Linked DNA regions of Kluyveromyces lactis. The protein of the gene in region 1 interacts with the protein of each later gene in a pairwise test. Links are inferred from orthologs where the notes say so. Each region holds a gene or a part of one and is shown on either strand. Other genes may lie near its edges. The genes, in order: TLG1, SEC17, VPS45, TLG2 and SEC9.

The links.
Region 2: the proteins of TLG1 (region 1) and SEC17 interact in binary tests that used the Saccharomyces cerevisiae proteins (3 or more experiments, as listed by UniProt). The link is inferred for Kluyveromyces lactis from reciprocal best matches to the Saccharomyces cerevisiae genes TLG1 and SEC17.
Region 3: the proteins of TLG1 (region 1) and VPS45 interact in binary tests that used the Saccharomyces cerevisiae proteins (3 or more experiments, as listed by UniProt). The link is inferred for Kluyveromyces lactis from reciprocal best matches to the Saccharomyces cerevisiae genes TLG1 and VPS45.
Region 4: the proteins of TLG1 (region 1) and TLG2 interact in binary tests that used the Saccharomyces cerevisiae proteins (3 or more experiments, as listed by UniProt). The link is inferred for Kluyveromyces lactis from reciprocal best matches to the Saccharomyces cerevisiae genes TLG1 and TLG2.
Region 5: the proteins of TLG1 (region 1) and SEC9 interact in a two-hybrid assay, tested with the Saccharomyces cerevisiae proteins (2 studies listed by BioGRID, with this or other methods). The link is inferred for Kluyveromyces lactis from reciprocal best matches to the Saccharomyces cerevisiae genes TLG1 and SEC9.

What each region holds. Positions count from the first base shown.
Region 1 is NC_006041.1:318,862-321,385, reverse strand, and holds TLG1 (Tlg1p), read right to left. Parts: upstream 1,220-2,524; coding exon 524-1,219; downstream 1-523. Other genes in the region: SDC1 (Sdc1p), read left to right, coding at 1,482-1,886; mitofusin complex protein UGO1, read right to left, coding at 1,995-2,524.
Region 2 is NC_006041.1:529,681-532,656, forward strand, and holds SEC17 (alpha-soluble NSF attachment protein SEC17), read right to left. Parts: upstream 1,615-2,976; coding exon 1,585-1,614; intron 1,363-1,584; coding exon 514-1,362; downstream 1-513. Other genes in the region: RPL43B (60S ribosomal protein eL43), read right to left, coding at 1,996-2,272, 2,767-2,768. UniProt on the Saccharomyces cerevisiae protein: SNARE complex protein that binds to cis-SNARE complexes on membranes and is required for vesicular transport between the endoplasmic reticulum and the Golgi apparatus and for homotypic vacuole fusion.
Region 3 is NC_006041.1:1,671,841-1,675,305, forward strand, and holds VPS45 (Vps45p), read right to left. Parts: upstream 2,235-3,465; coding exon 501-2,234; downstream 1-500. Other genes in the region: CTI6 (Cti6p), read left to right, coding at 1-423; TCO89 (Tco89p), read left to right, coding at 2,592-3,465. UniProt on the Saccharomyces cerevisiae protein: Essential for vacuolar protein sorting. Function in membrane traffic between the Golgi and the vacuole.
Region 4 is NC_006037.1:927,363-930,168, forward strand, and holds TLG2 (t-SNARE syntaxin TLG2), read left to right. Parts: upstream 1-1,200; coding exon 1,201-2,295; downstream 2,296-2,806. Other genes in the region: ATP-dependent RNA helicase FAL1, read right to left, coding at 1-893; KLLA0_A10703g (uncharacterized protein), read right to left, coding at 2,515-2,806. UniProt on the Saccharomyces cerevisiae protein: t-SNARE that functions in transport from the endosome to the late Golgi and on the endocytic pathway.
Region 5 is NC_006040.1:173,351-176,767, forward strand, and holds SEC9 (Sec9p), read right to left. Parts: upstream 2,198-3,417; coding exon 527-2,197; downstream 1-526. Other genes in the region: ECL1 (Ecl1p), read left to right, coding at 1-213; TIF6 (translation initiation factor 6), read right to left, coding at 2,557-3,294. UniProt on the Saccharomyces cerevisiae protein: Component of a SNARE complex that may be the effector of SEC4 function in exocytosis.

The DNA.
Region 1 (2,524 bases):
AACGATAATTACAAGACACAGAAAATCCGGGAATGAATGCCAGTAAGTATTATCAACTCCGTCCTAATCCTAGTGCCCTTCGCCTCTTAAATGAAATCGCTCTCTTCGATAGTCTTGGATCTGACACTGTAGCTTGACGTGCAAAAAACCCAATCCAGCAAGCAACCTTTTGCTTTTGTACCTTAAAAACTAACTTGGTCTTAATACTTTTCCATTTCTCAGTTTCCATACTTTCTATATATTTCAACAAAAAAATCAGTTCGAAAGCTCCATTGTGGTACGATTTCAAAGCCGCTGTCGTATGTTGTGATTTCCGATTTTTTTCCATACCGCAACAGTGTCGAGAGGTATTTTGTCTATCAGAGGAATGGAACGACGACGATGACGATCCGTCAACTGGGGGGTCAAGAATTGTGTCAGTTTCTCTTAGGAAACTTCGCACCTTTCGTTACTCGGGAATGTGCATCGTCTTCTTCCTTTTTTGGTTTCTGTTTGGTTCCCGGTTCAAATTCGGTGATATACATCACAAAATGAATGCTAGTACTAGTAGGATGATCAATGCAATGATTAAGAGAAAGATGCAGCAGTCGTTGACACGTTCTTTGTTGTGTTCGTAGACCCATTCTAGTTGTCGTCTTCCTCTGGAAAGTTTGTTCATGACTCCGTCGACATTTCCGTCCATTTCTTCGAGAATCATGCCCTGTTCTGTTAGTTCTTGACCCATTGTAGATGCCTGTAGATGAATGTTTTGCATTGTCTGGTGAATCATGTCCAATTGATTGTCTTGTTCACGGAGTAATTGCTCCTGTACGGCGTCGTGGTTTGCCGCGTCTGATTGGTCGGTGCCTGCAGTTGCCTCGATGTCCAAATCGAAGGAATCGCCACGCTGTTGTTGCTGCGGCAGCAATGATGATTGGGTAGCTGCATCGGTGTCGCGGGTTGTCTCGATATTTAACGACTGGCATTGTTTCAATTTTGATTCCAGGTTTGCCATGGACTTCTCACGGGTCTGAATTTCGTATTCGGGAATAGCTTGTTCCTGTTTCATCATTTCTATACTCTCATTTAGATCTTGGATAGTCTCTTGAGCCTCAGAGATGATTTCCGAGATCTCTTTCGAACTGGTGTTCGATCTCCCTTTCTTCTTCCTATCTAATATCTGCAATAATTGGTTCAATTGTTCCTCTGTGTCCTTGAAAACCTGAATAAATGGATCCATTTTGTCCTCTTTGCTTTTGGTGGTTAATTTTGATATAATATTGGTATTACCTGATTCAGTGCGGTCTGTTTCTTGGGGAGCTCGAATTGTACCTGCCTTGGTGAACTTTGTTTAAGATTTCAGTTTGTTATTATTTTCCTTTTATTATTGACAATCTTGAAAAATCACTGAGTTTTGACTATATACATGGACAGATCTACACCTAGACTTGGCCGAATAAAGCTCCAATCCTGGTCTCCTGCCACAACTGAAGCTTATCTACATGTCAGAACCAGTGATGGAGAATATGGCACCTGAAGATGTGGTAAAACTTGAGAAAGAAGAACATATTGTACCGGATATTGGCGTCTCTTCGATTTCTACCACTGAACCCCTGTCTCCATCGGGTATACCAAGGGAATCATCTGGAACTGTTACCTCTGCAACTGCAGCTACAACAGAAAGAGAAGTATCACCCAAGAAGGAACTACAAATTGATCATGATCGTGTTGATCCAGTAGCGATGATCGGTGGGTCAACCACTAGAAGATATTTGAATGAACATGTAACAAAACATTTATTGGAAGGAATGAAACTGATAGCCAGAGAAAAGCCCGAGGATCCACTTCGAGTATTAGGCCAGTTCTTGATTGATGCAAGCGAAATGAACCAGAAGCCTTCATCGTAGATATGAATTTACGACTTTCTTAAACTAAAGACATCTGTATTATTATTATTATTTTATATATGTATGTTTTCCTTCAATGTCCAGTTCACTTATAGATATCTACATGAACTAAAACTTCTCCTCTTCGAGTATTTCTGATGGCTTATTTAAAATCTTCAAACCATAACCGCATAAAATGCTTAGAAGCCCGAGTCTCCAGCCTCGCCATAGTTCACTAATTCTGTCGCACTGCTTGAATACCGTCAGGTAGATGGATTGGTACTCCCTTGGTTTTATGATTAACATTTCAGATTGTACTTGGAATGGGTTTTCTGTGAACAAGAACTTCACTTGACTCCTTCTCAATAGATTCTCAATTGGTAGCTTTACGAAGAGTTCACAAACTTTACTGCAGAACTTTAATGTGTTGTACAGAATCACATTAGTGAATTTGTCAACATTGAACTGATGATATAGTATTGCACCGGTTAATTTGCTAAATCCTGTCCCTACCAGGGAATATAATATATTCAAAAAGACCAATTCCTTATTTAGTTTGGATATGTTTTCCCTCCAGGACCATTTTCTCAACAATTTTCTTAAGGATCTATCGTTATCAGAAAGGGAACCATCGTTACGAACAGAAGAGATAATTAACC
Region 2 (2,976 bases), about 210 kb from region 1:
GGTCCTCTTATCTGAACGTTTTAGAGATCATGTTACCCCTCAGTTGATGTGTTTTCATTCATCTAGTGATATTATCAATCAACTGCCTTTTGCGTAGGCTCATCTAGTAGATTTGCTGAGGAAGTATCATCATATTCATTAAAAATTGTACCAGCATTCTGAAATATTAGGTTTGTTTCTTACCGTAAGAAGATGTAAAAAATTGTGATACATTTCTTACTTAATTGTATATTTATTCAAAACGGTAAGGGAGCCGTTCGTCAGAAGCTTAAAAAACATTTTCGTTACCATTAACATCTTCAAAATTTCCAAACGTCCAAGCCAGATGGCAAGCTTATTTGCATCGATATAGTTGATAATGGGAAATGAAAGACGTTAACGTGAAACAAACCACTCGATGTGGTTGTACAAATGGGTATACACCATTTATAAAATAATTATTCCACCAAAAAAGTGACAGTTGTGTTAGAGAAAAGAATACAATTACAAGAGAATGAGTTGAATATTACCATTTTATAGTAGATCGTCATCCGCCTCGACGATTGTATTTTTCACCTTCAAGAGTATAGTTGTTTTCCAATGGTCTAACTTATTGAACCTATCATATTCGTAGATCTTTTGCGATAATTTTTCAGTATCACCTTCCCTTACAGCTTCAATTACGTTTGATAGTAACTCAAACTCCCTTGATTGAGAGAATGATGGATCCAACGATTGTGATTCGTTCAAACTTTTATCTGCAGCTACAACATCACCAGCAGCAAGGTAACATAGGCCAATCTTCAATAAGTACTCTTTGAGCGACCACTGGCTTAATTTATTCCCCAATGAATTTTCAACGACTTTCTTTAAGATCTCGGTAGCTTCCAAATAATCACCGTTCAAAGCTTTCAAATCGGCGCATTTAATGTAGGATTTATTCGAGAGAGCAATAGCTTGGTCTTGCAAATACCAATCACCAGCTGTTTCATAATTGGCAATGGCACTTGGGTAATCCTGTAATTGCTGTTCTTGTAATTCAGCCAATTCGAATTTGAAGTTGGCACCTCTTCTAAACTGACCTCTTCTTGTGAAAATATCTATCGACTTGGCTAAGGACTCAGCAGCTTGTGCTGGAGAAGATCCTGTCTTGAAACACTTGTAGGCTTCGATATACGTATTTCCTGCTTCATCTTCATTAGAAGCCTGTATTTGACACTCTGCTGCCCTCAAGAAAGTATCACCCGCTTGATCCAACTCCTTTCTTAGCCTATAGAGGTTTGCAGCCTCGATATAAAGATCTGCTGCTTCTTCGTAACGGTAAGAGTCTGAACCGCTAAGGAAACTGAAAAATCCTGATGATGGTTTAGCCTTCTTTTCGGCCTATTACAAAAATGACATGAGATATGTTTCCATACCATTAAGTGAAAAAGAGAGAATACGAATGATAAATCACTTCCTCTTTCATCACATTATGGCTAGGGTTTGCATATGTTTATTGTTAGTATTAGGGGTTCAGGCGAGAATAAGGTCAACCATTGTCATCATACTTTCCTAGACTTATTGATTTGACCTTTCAACATAAATGATGGAGAAAAAACGTACCTTAGCTATAATTTCTTTAACATCCGACATATTCAAAGAAAACCTGAGTGGGATATGGCTGAATGCTGTTAACTTTTGTCAACCAAGAGCTTGCTTACAACTTTTACTATCAAACTATCAACATTGTATCATCATTACATGTTACATATTCTAATTACCATCAGAAAGTAAAGAAATTCCTTAAGGGGAGAAACAACGGAAGGCTATCAGCAGCCGGGTAATTAATTCACGTGACTTTCAAATAGGCTGGCCTGGGAGCCGGTCCAAGGTATTTGGCTGGACGCGAGGATGAACACTCGACCATCACGCCTAAATCAGTTATATAGGGTAGATGGAATATAAAATAACACAAAGTGGAAAGATACGTTTTATTGAAGGATACTTATAACATGATTATACGATGCAACAAGCTTAAGCTTCAGCCATGTCTCTCAATCTTCTGATGGTAGATCTGACGGTAGCGGCAGCGGCGGTAGACAAAGTGTAAGCACCACCAGCGATGGTTCTGTTACAAGAAGAACAAGACCAGACACCAGCAGCACCTCTCTTAACACAAGTCTTACCACAGAAAGAACAGTTATAAGTGGCGTGTTGTTGAACTTCCAACTTCTTAACTTGTCTTCTCAAAGAGGAACCGTAACGGACACCGTACTTACCAGTGATACCAACCTTCTTAGTTCTTTTAGCCCTGAATATAAAATGAATTGTGTATTCATTACGTCCGATTCCAATAGTTCGATTCAATTTGTTCACATAATGGGTGGTAATGAATCGATACCACAGGTAGAATGGGTAATAACACAGATATAAAAGTTAGTAAAATTGTTGCAATTAAAGGAACAACAGTTTTTTTGGGGGAGGAGGTCTAATAGATCGTCATTTATTCTGCTGTCGTGCGTGTGGAGCTGACACTATAAATCATCACACTGGAATTTTGCATCTAGCTGTAGTTTCTTGTGCTTATGGTATAATTCCAGTTACCCATTTGTCACTACACTTCTTCTATGTTGATTCCATCTCCTAGTGAACAGGTCAGTCTGCCTGTATCGTATCAGTCTGCTTCTTCTTCGTCTTCTTCAATCCTCATCGTCTAGTCTATCATAGTTCATAGTTCAACTTGTTATATCGATCACTGAGTTCTTCGGCCCCATAACTGTGCGCGGTGTGCATTAGGTATCATACATTTTGGTTTCTTTGTGTTTGCTTGGTTTCTGGAGGGTATATAAGAGTGAATATGAACAACTATAAAACGTAGTTAACAACCTATACAATCTTTAAATTCTAATCACTTGCTAAAGATGAAAACTGGTTGGTATTGTAAATGAGTTTGAAACTCGTCAAGTTTGCAGAATTGAAAAAACTGTGAGGATGAAAGATCCACTGTCCACTAAA
Region 3 (3,465 bases), about 1.4 Mb from region 1:
TCAACCACGCAAAGTAACTCAAGGATTTACAAGACCTCAAGTGGAAGAGTTGCAAGGAATTCTAAAGCTAGCAGCTCAAAAGGATCGGGTTCCTCTGGAAGTTCAAACTTGTCGAAATCTAATGGACAATCTAATGATATCGGAATCAACAAGCCTCTAAAACCCAGGATTCCCTCTCAGAGGACCACTATGCATGAAATGAGAAGAAGAGTTAACGCTATTCTGGAATTTATCTCAAGGACACAGTTAGAAATATCTAATGACCAACGTCAACGGGATCAGTTGTGCCAGTTTGTGGAAAACGAAGAATTCCTGGAAAATATTAATAAAATATTCTCCAGTTACGACGAATCCTTCAAAACGATGGATGAGCTAACGAGGAAATTACTGCTTTGGGAGCAAAAGTTTAGTCCAGCTTCTTAAAAGCATGATAGAGAGTGTTCTTTTCTTGTTTCATACATTTCCTTACCTAATTCTACATCTGAAGTACATACGTAAGTTCATAATAAGTCAACTGGTTTATCATTAACGGCGCAAACATCTGTTAAAAATTGCTCTGTAGAAATAATCGAGGTTCCTCCAATGATAACTCTGCAATTGTCCTTATTTTTACTCTGTTTCTCATTGAATTGATGTACTGCGCGCGCTTCTTCTATAGTGAGGCCTCCGACGATCAATATAACAACATCTTGTGGCATATATGTCTTAGGGTCAATATTTTGGTTTAAAAGAGTCACTCCCTCTTGTGGGAACTTGTTTTTATCCAAATCGCTGAGAAGTGTTGTCAATTCAGGAACATGTTGCATAAACACATTTTCAGCGCTGGTGCTGCCTAATCTGTTGAATTTCTTGGTTAATCCACTAATCAAATCATTGTCCTGAGGAGCTTTGTGTTTATTGAATATTGACCCAAATCTCTGTTTAAATTGAAAGTAAAGAGAAATTTGTGTGGGATCACACTGTTGTCTTAGAATATTCTCCAACTCAGAAACTCTAGATTCGTTCTTGCCGTGTCGTAGAACAAAAATGCAGCATAATTTTAATTTGTAATATGATTCTAAGGTTGGTAAGTTTAGAATTCTCTTCAGTTCTACAAAGTCATCGTTATTGTCATCATGTGAAGAGAGGTTTTGCTCTAGCTCACTGACTTCCCATATATTCTTCAGTTGTAATTGCCTATCTAATTCACTAACAATGGCCATATGTTTTGAAATGTTGCCTGAGAGTTTCTTAAATTCGGGGAACTTTTCGATGAACTCTTTAATATCTTCTATCGTATTGATTTGTTTGGTAATGTTGGTCTTATTTTTATACTGAGTAACATAGTTCTTCACCTTATCTGCCAAATCACCAAAATTCATATACATTGTTTCTTTGAAGAACTTATCTTGTTTTGAAGAGAGTACAACCTGCTTCAAATCGGGATCGATATTTGGTACATTCGAAAGGTCTACCAAGTTTCTTTTTATTCCGATATATTCATTTATCATCGATTGATAGGTCCACGGTTGAAGTAATGGTGTCAATGGATCCGATTTCCTGTCAAGTAAAATTAGTAACGGATTCGAATCTCTGACGGGAAAATCAAATAACTGCCTTTCATTTGTCTTAATTTCATACTCTAAATCCTTAGCTAACTTTTGACACAATTTGCTATCCGAGTCATACGCAATTGTCGGATTTAGTTTTAACGATAGTAGCAATGAGATTAACCCGTTAGACGTCTCCTGCAATCCCTTTGGATCCCATACCAATTGATTTTGGAGAAGATTGTACAACGGGATCTCTAAAGTGAAGACATCCTCGTTCACAATTAGGTAGTCTTGGAAAACTTCTTCTACATGTGTGACAACCTCCATATCATCTCTTTCGGCTAACCGTTCCAACTGGGACTTACTCACCTGGTTATTGAAGAAAATCTGGTATTCGCCATACTTGGGATCCTGTAATTCGTGTAATAGGTCTTGAATCGTATCCTCAGTGGGTTTCAAATAGCATAAACATTTCAAATGTGGCATTGGATCTCTGTGAATATTCTCAAGTTTATCGACCAAGTAAATCTCGTGCTTTAATAGCTCGGTTTGAGTAGTACACATCGATATCGTAGAGAGTGTGTCATTATCCAAAATCAATGCCTTTACTCTCGACTTCTCCTGTATCGAGGTGTCCGACGGTTTGGACTGGAAATTTGCGATTCTGCTGATATAATAATCACCAACCGTAAACAAATTCATTACGAAAAAGTGCTCTATCCTCTCAATTTCAAAAGAACTTGGATATCTTAATTGCTGATTCACCGTTGGCACGCGCTACAGCAGCCTTAATCTACCGTTTCTCACTGCTACTTTGTTCCATGCAAAAGTTTAAGGTCATTTCTCCTTTAATACTTATTTTCAAAAAGAGTTGAAACTAAGATTCTGGCACACATCAATCCATCTTTGTTTAACTACAAACAAACACAGGAACAACAATCTTGCTATAGCCTGTGATTCCAAACTTTACATTTAGGTGGGAAATAGCAATTTTTCCACAATTCTGTACAGTCAAGGTAATAATTCTTAAGTTGAGGCTACTGGCTATTCTTTACAACAATGGCCACAATTTCCCGTGTGAAGCCTGTGAAGACTAATTCAGATACCAGTCTATCACAGTATATGAAGCAGAAGAAAGGACATGGAAAACCTAAACAGTTCTCTGCAAAATCTAGGAGCAAGAGCAACACCAGTTTCAAGAACTTACAGAAATTACACAAGGTAGGAAGCCACGATGCATTGAATAGAGGACTTTTCGATCCTATGAAGAAATCGAAGAGTTCGGACTCATTGAACAGACGCACGGTACACAGTGGTCTCAGTATGACGGCATTGGTAAGAACATCATCTCATCCAGTTGTGCTACACCAGAATAGTCACAGCATGAAGCATAAGGGCCTAATTAGTGATAGGAACTCCAAGTCCGTCATCCTAGATCTTCACGATTCTGGGGATAACGATTCTATGACTGATGAAGAGGTAGAGTCTTTCACCGATATAGAAGGAGATGATGCATCAGATGATGAGACAATAAATGGAACGGGCAAAAATTCAACAACTCAGAGGAACTCGATGCATAGCATCAATGATTTTCAGGACAGAGCTGGGTTAAGAGTGGATTCTGGTAGACCTCTACAAAGGCCATTGAGCTATAAACCACCGTCACGGCTTAGAAACAGAGTTGATGCAGATGATGATCATATTTCATCAAGAGCTGTGAGCCCAATGGATAATGACAAAATTGACGCTCCTGACAGGGAAGATGACCTTATTGACCCTGGCAATCAGGACACTATATCGAACACGAATAGTCTAAGACGCCACAGGCAACATATGTTTGATTTCAATAATGGAAACGGTAATCTGCAGAAATCTTATAATGTGGAAACTACGGAGCATGAGGATATTATAGCAGCGAACACTGCCGTCGATG
Region 4 (2,806 bases), on another chromosome or scaffold:
ATGTCACCGTGCATTGAGGACACAGAGAAATTCGTCTGTGTCAACTTCCTGGATAACCAATCCACTTTTTTCCTTGTATTACAGAATATCACACATTGTGTTATCGTTAACGAATCGTATAGATCACAGAGTGTATCAAACTTCCATTCTTCCTTTTCTACATCCACATAATATTGCTTTATCACGTCCAAGGATATCTCATCCCGCTTAACCAATATCTTCACCGGGTCACTCATGAACTTCTTGGTGATCTCTAATATATCTTTACTCATTGTAGCACTTACCACCACGACTTGAATCGTCGGTGGTAACTTGGTGAAAATGTCGTAGATTTGTTGTTTAAACCCCAAAGTTTCTCCGAGTAGTTCATCTGCTTCATCGAGAACTAAGATCTTACAGTTTCTAACGTTCAATACTTGTCTCTTGATCATATCTAGTACACGGCCCGGTGTACCACTGACCACTTGACAATTTTTCGATACTTTCTTGATATCTTGTTGTAAGGCCTTACCTCCTGTGCACGCATGTGCTGTAACGTTCAAATAGTCTCCTAGGTTAGATATCACAGATTCACTTTGACTCGCTAGTTCTCTTGTTGGTGATAAGACCAATGCTTGTAACTCTTTGCTCTTAGAATCAATTGCTTGTAATAATCCAATGGTAAATGTGGCCGTCTTACCGGTACCAGACTGTGCCTGGGCAATCACATCTTTTCCTGAGATAATCTGAGAAATGGCTCTAGACTGAATGGATGATGGATATTCAAAGCCGTAAAAATATATGCCTCGTAACAAATCCGGTTTCAAGTTCATCGACTCAAAAGTGGCAGATACCTTGAGCTTCTTTGAAGTCTTAAACTTCAACTTCGAGTCATCATCTCTGTTGAACGACATTGTTGATGTGATGATTCCCTTTCTTAACAACAGTAACTCCCGGTTACACTTCACTTGGACCTACCGTTGCAGCCTCTATTTCAATGCATCTCATCGCATCTCATCTTATCGTTGTGCTTGCCAAATTTTCCATTTTTTAAAGGTTTTAAGCTGAGAACCGAAAGTTCAACAACACTTTAAGGTGTCAAATTACAAGTGTATGTAAATAACTGCAGAACAACTGGTCGAGTGGCTCGATCTAGTGATTATTTAGATCAGATTAGTGGTAGTGCGTGCTTTCTTCCCTTGTTTGCTTTTGAACTGCACCATGTTTCGTGATAGAACTAATTTGTTTTTATCCTATAGGAGAACTTTCCCCCATCAGAGGCTTTCGAGTACCAAGCATCTACGATCGAATAAAGATTTGGAGAACCAGCCATTCATTGGTAGTGACGATGGTAACAATGATGAAGATATGGTTGCTATGGATGATTTCTCCCGTCAATTACCGCCAAAATTTTTCGATTTAACGTTCCAAGTGGATGAGTCGTTATCTGCAGTAGATCAATTGTTGCTACAGTTGACGAAACTATATCAAAAGAACTCTTTACCAGGATTCCAGGACAATAAGCAGGATGAGGAGGAGATTGAGCAGATAAGTTTCCAGGTAATTAAGAGATTCCAAGAATGTTTTGGTGTTATCAAGACTCTTACGAGAATTAAGGATTCTCAATATTCGAATGGTAAGCAGCTAAGCAAGGACGAGTTAAGGATATTGGATAACCTAGAAAAGAACTACGCTTTGAAAGTGCAAGACAAATCGCAGAAGTTCAGAATATTACAGAATAATCATTTGAAGTTTTTGAATAAAGATGATTTCAAACCACTACCCACTACGAAATCAAGTAACGATACATTGATGTTGTTGGAGGAAGAAGTTGAAGGAGATGAAGTCAATAACATCGACTCATATTCAAAGCAGACTTTACAAAAACAGAATCAGAAGTTACAGGATAACAATCAGCAATTTTTGCAACAAAGAGATGAGGAAATTACACAGTTAGCGAAAGGTGTACTCGAAGTTAGTACTATTTTCAGGGAAATGCAGTCTTTGATCATAGATCAAGGTACAGTGGTCGATAGGATCGATTATAACTTAGAAAACACGGTTATTGAATTAAAGCAGGCCCAAAAGGAGTTAGACAAGGCAACGCACTACCAAAAACGGAGTCAAAAATGTAAAATTATTCTATTTCTATCTTTGGTCGTTCTAGCGTTATTCCTCCTTGTCATGCTGAAACCTCATCACCATACTATACGAGAATCAGCTCCTTCAAAATCTCACAAACCTCCTGGATCACAAGTGGAGGTCAATTCTCCTAATGGAGACCCGTTGCTGGATCCAGAAAGTAATGTAGAATAAAAATGGTCAAATATTAATGAACTTGCTTATGATGGAGAAACTGCATCGAACTTCGAAAACAAATTTTGATATCGTGATAGAAGTAAACGACCACTGTCGAATTGGTAACAGTAGAAAGGTTCAAAAAAGTTAACTAGAGAGGAGGTCTATATATTATCTGTTACAGTAAATAGAATAAATTTGTTTAAAAAGTGAGTGGTTTCAGTATGAATATTACAATCAGAACTTAAAATGCTCCATAGGGACTGTCTCTTGACATGGATGCAGAGGTAGGTTATTTTTTCTTGGGAGCCTTTTCCTATAAGCAGGTTTATAGTGCATTGAAGATGCTGGTGCGGAGTTTAGCCCTGCACTCCTTTGGCTATTTCCGTATGATGCTGGACCAGTTCCGATGGAGAATTCAGGGTTTGATTGTAATAAGAAATCTGATGCAGACGGACCAGCCGAATACGGAGGTTGTGGTTGTTGTGGTTGTTGTTGCTGTACTGGTAGTGGCGGAGGGTGGTAGTAT
Region 5 (3,417 bases), on another chromosome or scaffold:
ACGATATATGATCTTCTAGATCGAGATCAAGATGATATGGATTTCGATCTGGAATTGTCACTGGATAGGAACACATTAGGACATGGGGCTTCACTTCCGATGATGACGATACCGCGTTCTGTCGTTGGGAAGGATCAAGAGTTTGTCAGTTACACGGATCATACTGCTGAGGATAACTACAAGCTTTGGTTGAACTATAATTTGACAGGATAGTTAAGAGGATTCCTGAACATCACAATAACTTTGCAATACTTAAACACAAACACAACACAAACACACTCACTCTCTTTATGAACAACACGCTATGATTATATGGGCTCTCTTATGCTGGCCCCTTTTCCTCCTCCAGGTGGAACTCCTGGCACAATCGCTTTCACACATTTTCTACATCGAAGATAGATAAGATACAGCAGTACTTTCTGATATTATATAGAATATGTTTATGATGTATACCCCCGCCATGGCGACTTTAACGATCTCACATTTTGCATTTTTTAATTAACATTTTATTTATAAGACTCTTCCTTCATCTTATATTGGTTAACCTAGTCGTGTTCACATGGATCTTGATATCCAAATCATCGGTGCTCTCCTCAATCCGCTTGATCCGATCTTGTTGAGAATCTATCTCCTTACCAGTGGTAATCGCAAGTTTCTTTAACCTACCACTGATTTGTCCAATCTTATCCAAGTTCTTGTCGATTTCCATTTCCATTTCATCATCTTCTTCGTCGTTCTCGAACTGATACCTTTTAGCCTTCTCTAAGATCTGCTGGTTCTGGTACCGATCACGAACTTCAGATGGACCATGTCCACTCGACATGGCATTCTCGATACGTTTCGTACTTTGGTGTAACGTCGACGTGATATCCTCTTGGTTTTGTTTGTCCTGCATCCTTTGTAACTTTATCTTATCTTCCGCTTCGCGTGCACGTCTCTTACTATGGAACGGATTCGATACATGGACCGCTAAAATGTTCCGGTTTAACTTCTTCAATTCACTCACTTTATCATCGGCAACTCTGTTCTGGATTTGCATTAAATTCAGGTTTCTTTCCACATTGTTCAATTTCTCCGATTGATGTCCTAACATACCGATGGTATTCATACCAGCTAATTCAGCATCCTGTGCCATCTTTAGCGTGTTTCTCGTACTGGCAACTGAACTCTGTTTTGTAAATTTGATCTGTTGCTTGATCCCATCTACTTCTTCATCTTCTTCTTGTTGTTCAGCACGCTGACTTTCTTTTTGAATATCTTCAAATGTCTGATAACCCTTTGCAGGGGTCCCAATACCCTCGTTCTCATGAATGGAATTGTTTAAATCATCATCATCACCGTTGCCATTGCGTTGAACTCCCTTAGGATTATCAATTTCTGGCCTAATTGTCTCATTGAGATCTATTTCGTCATCAGCTCCGGACCGTTCGAAATTAAATTCACGGTCGTTTGATCTGGTTGCAGATGTAGAGTGACGAGGTGAGGCATAAGATCTACTTGAAACATCAGAAGCCGCCACATTTGGAGTAAAGCCCTTATATGCATTCACGCTACCAGAATTTGAATACGAATTTGTTCCATACGGATCCTGACTGTTCATGTTAGCATAAGGGTTACTAGGTCTCTGACCGGTAGCACCATTATTATTGCTGCTAGATGCCTGCGGAGACGGACTTGCGTATGTATCACCACTATAGCTGTTACTGCCATAGCTTTTGTTGCTGTAGCTATTATTCATTGATCCATACGGGTTATTGTTCTGCTGCAGTGGCGCGTTGTAACCGGTATCATATGGAGAAGCACTTGCATTTCCATAGGGAGAGGAATCACTGTTCCCATACGGAGATGCATTATCATTGCTATATGGATCAACGTAGTTGCCCGTGTGTCGAGCGCTGGCAGAAGCGTTTCTATTGTTAATCATGGAGACTTCATCGTAAGGAGAGTTGTTCAAATCATCCAACTGCTGTCGCTCAGAAGGCTGAGCTCCAGGATTCGCATATTGTTCATATCCTTCTGGTGCATAGACCTTACTTTTGACCTTATCGTTAGCAAACTTCCCATATGCGGCAAACTTTTCTCTTCTATTTGATGGTGTAGTCTTGGTGGAAATTCCTAACTCGTTCAAATATTCACGGTTTTCTTCGGGGGTAGCCTCTGGAGGTGGCTTGATCTTGAAGAACTTCTTAATACCCATGGTTTCACTACGGTAACAGCAACCTTTTAACCTTATTTGATCGATGTTCCCCTTTTACCTTGTCTTTACCTATCTAAAAATTGATGTTAAAGGAACTACAACTTTTCGATTCTTTTGTTTCATTTAAATTTAAAGGTTTCTTTTGGGTCCAGTAGTACTTAGTGAACCACGATGCACAAAATACAAAAGAAAGAAGGAAATAAACAGTATGGGGTTGATGCAAATGCCAAAGAGCAATCAAAATAAAAATTGTACTATACAGATCCAGAGATATACACCAATATTACATTAAAAAATGGGGCGATAATGGGGGCCAAAACGATATAAATGACAGAAGAGAGCGATTGTATCAATTCCTTTTATGAGTAAGTTTCGATCAAAGTATCACGCAAGTTACCAGAGATAGCTTCTGGTTGAGCGTCTTGTAGACGGAAGATAGATTCGATCACACTTAATTCTGGAGCGGTGGTATCTAGACCAGTAACTGCCAAATAGTCGTTCACGACCATACCAGCACCGACGACTTGCGAACCACGGTTCACAGTACCAGCAACTAGTGGGACTTGCAACAAAGAGGAAAGTTCTTCTTGGTCTTGTACTGTAGTCTGAGGATGCACTAGACCACCTTGGTTAGACAACGCACAATATGAACCAACAAGAACGTTACCCGAAATTGTTTGACGGAAAACTTCAACACCTAAGACATCGGCAATCAACTCCTCAGTTTCTCTGTCGATGTCTGGATGAACCAAAGCAACATAATCATTACAACAGATAACATTACCTAACGCAGATAATCTCTCCTCAACTCTTTGAACCTTCACAGCATCTGGCAAACAGTTTCTCAAATGTTGTAATTCTTGGTCGGTAGTTTGAGTTGGAACCAATAACCCTCTACGGTTACCAGCAGTCATACGACCAACAATCCTCGTACCTGCAATAGTGGTATGAGCAATAGGAATAGCATCTCCTAATTCGGCTTCAAACGCAGAATAAAAGTTCTCCGAACCACCAAGTGCCACCAAACAGTACGAGTTAGTTAGCTTCGAAAACACACCAATTTCGTTAGAATTCTCAAATTGTGTCCTAGTCGCCATAATTTCAGTTGATTTATCTGCAGTGGTATACTGGCGTAACAAGCAGAACTAGTGTTTATAAGTCAGAAGAACTGTACTAATTCAAGCCGAATCAACCATCCGCAAGATGAGATGAGATGAGCT